Linked DNA regions of Caenorhabditis elegans. The protein of the gene in region 1 interacts with the protein of each later gene in a biochemical or structural test. Each region holds a gene or a part of one and is shown in the gene's direction. Other genes may lie near its edges.

The links. Proteins that work in one complex are often made in the same cells at the same time.
Region 2: of the proteins of flp-7 (region 1) and frpr-3, one has a biochemical effect on the other in vitro, tested with the Caenorhabditis elegans proteins (one study listed by BioGRID).

What each region holds. Positions count from the first base shown.
Region 1 is NC_003284.9:5,884,308-5,887,383, forward strand, and holds flp-7 (TPMQRSSMVRF-amide 2), read left to right. Parts: upstream 1-1,557; 5' UTR 1,558-1,559; coding exon 1,560-1,654; intron 1,655-1,770; coding exon 1,771-1,809; intron 1,810-1,861; coding exon 1,862-2,152; intron 2,153-2,199; coding exon 2,200-2,308; 3' UTR 2,309-2,526; downstream 2,527-3,076. UniProt on the Caenorhabditis elegans protein: FMRFamide-like neuropeptides. Stimulates serotonin-induced fat loss by binding to and activating the npr-22 receptor which leads to induction of the atgl-1 lipase and subsequent fat loss.
Region 2 is NC_003283.11:7,769,520-7,773,828, forward strand, and holds frpr-3 (G-protein coupled receptors family 1 profile domain-containing protein), read left to right. Parts: upstream 1-1,741; 5' UTR 1,742-1,808; coding exon 1,809-2,411; intron 2,412-2,780; coding exon 2,781-2,883; intron 2,884-3,155; coding exon 3,156-3,321; intron 3,322-3,370; coding exon 3,371-3,486; intron 3,487-3,533; coding exon 3,534-3,628; 3' UTR 3,629-3,750; downstream 3,751-4,309.

The sequences.
Region 1 (3,076 bases):
TCTTTTGCTCGAGTTACGATAATTGAGGAAACGTTTGAAATTAAATGCACAGGTGATTCTATAAAATACTTATGGAATGTTTTTGAAAGGGTTTTGCAAAAATACTCAAACGCATCTACAATAAGTGTACATACGTAATATGACATATCACCCAGATTCACAAAACCACATGTTTTATAGATATGGTACTTGGTTTCAACAATTTTTAACATACTTTGAAAAAGAGCAAAAAGTATGTTTTACATTATTTATTGAAAACTCGTGTCAAGACCTGTTATTGTACTTAAGTTTTTTATCTGAAACTATTTTAAACTCTACATTTCACAATCAATGATCAAAAGAAAAACTGACCGAAATTTCTTTTTTTTTATTTTAAACTAGTTTTTGAACAAAATTGAACTTAAAAAACTTCAGTATCCACAATTGAAAAAAAACGTCATTTTTTGATTTTCTTAATCTTGAAGCTGTATTGTAATGTACTTAAAATTATTTTTGTTATGCGACTCTTATAATATTTTACATAAAAAGGACTAGATAAATATGTGTTTGTGCATCACAACCCCCGTTTAAAAATAAATTGAACTTTCATTCATTTATTCATTTCAATTAAACATAATATATTTTATAATTTTTTTTCAGGCTCCAAAATGACTTTTTTATAGGTTGAAGAGCCTGATAATAGTTTTAATAATACCTAAATTTATAAATTGAAATTTCAACGTACATCAGTACGGATAACTTTGTGTCTAAGTAATACATACAAAATTTTTGGAAACTTATTTGTTGAATTAATTTTTATTTTTGCCTTCTTCTAACACTTCCTCCTAAATTCTCAACTGACCGCTCAAAAGGTTTCAAACATCTTTCTCTTTGCTCTTCTGGAGAGTGCTTGCTAGTATCCTAAAATACCCGACACAATCAAACAGAGATGGACCGCGTGAATAATGAAGTGTCCCAAGATCCGTATAATTCACTTTGATTGCTCTGTGAACTTGGATTTTTTTAATCGGGCTAATGCGTCTTTAGCAAAAATAGCCAACCATCTCAATGGATTCCAACCTAATTTTGATTTTTTTTTTTTTTGGTGTTATTTTTTCTCCTTGTTCCGATTTCCAGTTTTTGTTTGGACGAAGGCGGAGTCATAGCATCAGACAAGGTTAGAAGGCATGAGAAGAAGGGGGTGGAGCATGAGCCTTTCTCGAGCTCAGGAATATGAAAGCGTATATAAGTATGGATAGCAGCTTCTATTGCGTTTCTGATTGTGATTATTTTGCCCCGTCATCAGTTTTCTTTTCAGTAAATTGTCAAATACAAATTTTTTGATTACTGTTGCTTGGTCTTGTGCAATCCACTCAATCTTGAATCCAATTTGCAGTTCAAGTTACAAATTGAATTTCCCTCTGCCAACACTCAAAGAAGGGTTCTTTTTTTTGACTTTTCAACTTTTCTCCTCATTTTTTCTCGATTGAAATTTCAATTTTTAAACCACTCCGCGTCATGTTTGGAAACATGACGTCATCGAAAAATACCATCTCGTTTTCATTCAAAGACTTTTAGAAATGCTTGGATCCCGCTTCCTTCTTCTTGCTCTTGGTCTCCTAGTTTTGGTATTGGCCGAGGAATCAGCCGAACAACAAGTTCAAGAACCAACTGAGTGAGTTGAGATTTATTGATATTATGTTGTTCTTGTTGTCGTGATTTGTTGAGTGAATAAATTTATTTTATTATTCTGAATGAACTCCTATTTTTTCTATTTTTTATATTTTTCAGACTCGAGAAGTCAGGAGAGCAACTCTCAGAGGAGGACTTGTGAGTTGTTATTATTCAGAAAAAACTTTATTCTCACACTATGCACTTTTAGAATTGACGAGCAAAAGCGTACTCCAATGCAACGCTCATCAATGGTTCGGTTCGGACGGTCACCAATGCAACGCTCATCCATGGTTAGATTCGGAAAGCGTTCGCCAATGCAAAGGTCCTCAATGGTTCGCTTTGGAAAACGGTCGCCAATGCAACGATCTTCAATGGTGCGTTTTGGAAAACGTTCACCGATGGAGCGTTCGGCTATGGTTCGCTTTGGAAGATCACCTATGGACCGATCGAAAATGGTCCGATTTGGTAGATCATCAATTGATCGCGCTTCTATGGTTCGGTACGTATTGACGTGAAAAGTATTTTGTGAATAAAGCTGAAGTTCAGACTCGGAAAACGGACACCAATGCAGAGATCATCGATGGTCCGTTTTGGCAAACGTTCGATGGAATTTGAGATGCAATCAAACGAGAAGAACATCGAGGACAGCGAATAAACAAGTACATGCAAACACCTTGATTACCAAGAACAAAACGGTCTCACATTGTAGTTTAATCTCGTTCTACGGCCTATTCTTACCTTTTTCATTTATGTATTTTTTTTTGACAATTATTTTTGTGCCACTTGACTAATAGTACAGATTGGTCGCTACCCAAATACTCCAGTGTATCAAAATTAATTTGCGATTTGCAAAATAAAGAACCGACGCCTGTTTTCCAGTCCTTCATCTTAAATTCATGCAATGCAAAGGATGAGAGGATTTCAAAAAAATAAAACTATAAAAAACAGGAAAATTGTTCAGAATGGCTAATACGGTGAGTCTGGTAAGTTGATTAAAAACAATGTACATTTTTTGCTTTTTGGACTAGTTTCGCGCCATAAAGCATTGTGTCCCGAGCCTGGTTTCATGTCCACTCATTCGCTGCAGTATTCAAATATGATCAAACCTGCCCAGCTACAGAAAAGCCTGATCTCGCGCCTTTCCCTATAACGTTAAAAGTTGTTAACTTTATTTCAAAGTGCATCGACTCTCCTAGGAGAGCGTCGTATGAGTTAAGTTGAACTTTTCAGAAAATAATCCAAAATGATTATTAACATTGTAAAGGCTTCTCAATCCCTACGGCAATAAATCATACAGAGCTTTTTGGTCATGGTCACCCGCTCGTTTTCCTGAAAATCAGAAATATACGTATTTGGATAATAGAGGTTTATTGAGAAAGCCTAAATCTAATAAATTTCAAACCGACAATGGTAAATTTTTCGA
Region 2 (4,309 bases), on another chromosome or scaffold:
TAATAAAACCTTTAGGAGTATTCCTAGAATTTTAAAGAATAGAAAATATTTATATTTCATAACAAACACCAATCTTTATAAAAAATAGAACTTCACCTCTTCGTGCTCACAAAATGCAAACTTCTAGACCTCCTTGAAGTGATCTCCGTATTTTTTCATTAGTTAGACATAGTTTATGCTTTCACCTACGTTAGCGCTCAATATATAAATATCCCTTTATCCCTCTGTTAATTCAAATACTTCCTGATCCCTCCGAAATTTCAAAATGAAAGGGGTTTCAAGCTACTTGCTTTTTTCGGATTCTCTTAATGAGTTTGAATGTACTTTAAAAAACCAATGCTTTCATGAGTAGGATATAAATTAGCAACTAACTTTCCCGGGACCTCCTACACTTTGTTGCTCAAGTACGTCCCGCCCATAAGCTGTTCGTGGCTCCCCATCTCCGGACCCAATAATTGCCCTCATAACGTGTTCGTTTCTCCTTTGTTATCTGAATCTTCTTCGCGTTTTTCCTTTTCTTTTTTTCCCTACTTTTTGCTCTTCACTTCTGTTTCTTCAATGTTTTTATTTGGGGGCTTCAAGTATTAATGATCACGTCTGAACCAGGTAGTGTTGCAAAAATTCTTGATAATTACTTTTTCTTGTTCCTTTTCATTTTATAGTCTAGCCTTTCCAAATAGGTCAATTGAATTCTCTAGCAGAAAGATACTGGGGAAAAAATAAAAGATCAGGTAATTTTAATCATGTCATACCTACGTGCCTACCTATACCTTTTTGAATAAATGTTGGAACATTAAAGGTTCAACTATCAAATTAGAAAAAAAAGTACATCTTGTTTACTTCAACAATAAACAAGACGCAATGGTAGGCTCTTCAGTTTACAATCTAAAATTTTCCGAACCTTTTTCAAGTGTCTGCGAATTTCTGTGAATTTCAAAGAATTTCGTGGAAAATGTCACAGAACGGATTTTTATGAAAATTTTCGGAGAAATGCGAATTCCTCAATTTTTGTAGGACCAAAAATAACTCGGATTCTCAGTACCCACCTGTTTTTGAAAGCACGTCTGAGCCATAGGCAACGCCAAATATCTGAAGCCTGAGTCTAAACCAAGCCTAAGCCCAAACCTAAAATCAGAATCCAGGATCTGATGACAAAGAATCGTGCACTAATTTCAGGAATATGTCCCACCCCCACGGAAGTGCATTATGATGAGATGAATCTATATGAATTATTAAAGTTGTTTGGAGAGTGTGTGTGGTGAAGCTGTCAGTTAGCAGGCTTTATTTTGTTTGCGATCCATCTTTTCCTATCTGGAAAATTTGATGAAGTTGTGAGCATTTCAAGAACATGGGGTTCCCCGAAGAGGAACAATTGTGCCCCTGTTTCCAGTTGCCACCAAATGAACAGCTGAGCAATATTCATCAATTAGCTCAATTTCCTCCCTCCATTTTCTTATTTTTTCTTCAGTTTTCTTGGACATCTCTATTTTTACGTTCTGTATTCTATAGGATGCTAGTATTTTAAATATGTTTTATATGGCGTGGTGCACAGGTGTTGTGCGCACCTTCTATTTCTACATTAGGTGCCTCAGCAAAATGTAAGCCTAGGCTGCCTAGAAAGAAGGTTTTAAAAGTATTAGAGTGCTATGACGTCATGCGTATCTTAGAAAATAATATTTCCCTTATTGTCTGTGTTCTTCCTTGCATTCACTGTTCCTCTACGCACCTTGAACTTTTGCATTTTCAGCTCATAAATGCACAATTGACCAACAAACATCTTCAACTTCCACTAAACTCTCACAAAAACAATGTTGCTACTACTCTCCCGGGTTCTGGTGAACGTGATGGTGCTGATGTGCTTTGGTGGAATTCTCACGAACTTCATCTCATTCTACATCTACACTCGTAAAACATTCCGGAAAAAGAGCATAAACGTCTTGCTCGCAGCCTTGTCAATGTCTGACCTTTGCGTCTGCGTTCTTGCAATTCCAGTTTTTGCAAGTACTCAACTTCAACAAGTCATTCCGCCAACAATTACTGCAATGATCATGGTGTACTTGTATCCAGTGACCATAATGTTCCAGTCAGTGTCAGTATGGTTGCTGGTATCCATAACAATTGACAGATACTTAGCCGTATGTCATCCATTCATGGTCAATACGTATTGTACAAGGAATCGCGCTCTCATAACTGTTGGAGTTGTCGTGATATTCAGTGTTGCTTACAATTTGATTCGAATTTGGGAGTACACGATAAATTTCGATGTCGCTCCTGAGAATCGTACGATTGAAGATCTTGTTGTACCGAAGCTTCGAGCAAATCCGCACTTCTTATTGTGGTACCAGAATGTTGCCACGTTGGTGTCGCAATTCGCATTTCCACTTACAGTGTTATGTGTTCTCAACATTCAAGTAAGTTGGTTACAATGGGTTGAGGAGTAGGAGTAGGCCTTAGGCTCAGGCTTATGCTTAGATGTATGCTTAGGTTTAAGCTTAAACTTAGTCTTAGGCTTAATCTTAGATTTAGGTTTCGGCTTAGGCCTTGGCTTAAGCTTAGGCTGAGTCGTATGCTTAGGATTAGGCTGAGTATTAGGCTTAGGCTTACGTTTAGGCTTGGTCGTGTGCTTAGGCTGAGGATTAGTCATGGGTAGGGTCAGTATTACATCCTAGACTTAACTGAAGGTAGGACATTATTTTTATTTATTTAGATAAAGCATGTAATCCTAAAAACGATTAGTTTTAGTGTAACTGCCCAAATTTTCTAACAAAGCAATTTTCCAGGTAGCGCGAACAATTATCGAGGCATCCGAGCAACGAAGAGAACTAGTGGCAAGTGTGAAACGAGAACATTCGACTGCAAAAATGATGATAATGGTTGTTTTAGGTAAGATTCATTTTTTGGATATTCTAGAAATCGGATTTTTGCTCAGTGGTCGTGAAAATGAAAATACGGTCACACTCATAGACTGATAGAAGGGATTTGCGGTAAAAATTTGTTTTATTTTTTTCTACCTACCGCGAGGACAAACCCAATCTTAAAATTAGTCACTAGTTTTGAGAAACATTAAATTTTTTGGATAGCATTTGATGAAAAAATTATTTACATATCCCCAATACAATTTAGTATTAAAGTCAACAAAGTCATGAAGCTTTCAGTATTCCTCGTTTGCTACATCTTCTCATTTATTCTAAATATATGGGAAATTCTTGACAAGGAGACTTTTGGAGGAGATATTGGTTGGTTTATGAATGACATCAACAATGTACTTATTGTTGTCAACTCGACGAGTGCAATTGTTTTCTACTATAAATATTCAACAAGGTAACGAGACCTTTAATAAATAGAATATTAAATTTTTTGCCCATTTTAGGTTCCGAAATCAAGCACGGACACTTCCCGGGATACGGTGGTATGCTAGTATGTCAAAGTTCAATGTATATGATACAGAGGCAACATCAAATCGAACAATGGTCACTAGATACAAAGGTTTTTTAATTTGTAATAATATTATATCCTTACCCAATTCTTTTCAGAATCCATGATTTCAATAAGAGGCACGTCAACTCGCCTGAGCAGCTCTCACAATTTGCTCTACAAACCGAGCTACTCAAAGCCATGTGATATCTAGGAATTTGTCACAATTTATTGCCATAATCGAATTTTTGTTGTTAACGGGTTTTTAAGTGACATATCGTTTTCTTCTTTTTATCTAACAATTTTCACTGGTGTTTTTGAAAAATAAACTATCATATACTTATCATGGATTACGAAAAGAAAATCCCAGATTTTTTGAGATTTGTTTCTTAAAGTTAAAATACGTTTTCCAGGCGATGCCAAGTTTCGTTTTTCGATTTAGAATTGTATAAATACAATTTTTTCACTTTTTAAAAATAACTACTGGTTTAAAAACAGTACTGACAGAGAAACTAAAACTTTTTAAAAAATTATTATCCAGCTGTGAACTACTGAATTTTTCGCTTTAAAATATTGGTGCCCGTTCTCACCACGAACGTCACCTTTTCAAAAAAAAACTTTAAGAATTACAGTGATCCACTCTATAGAGGTGCACGGATTTATTCAGATGGGTCTCGGCGCGCTAAAAAGTTTATGGTAGTATGTTTTTTTTTTAATTTTTGCAGTTGCGTCCTCGTCCTCGTTTTTCCATTTATCAATTCAATTAATTTACTTAGTATGTCGAATTGTATCGTTAAAAAATTCGCTTAAAATGACGTAATTTCATTGAAAAATGGAAAAGCAACGAGGAAGCAGCAGCACCAATATTAAAAAAGACTACCATAAACTTTTTAGC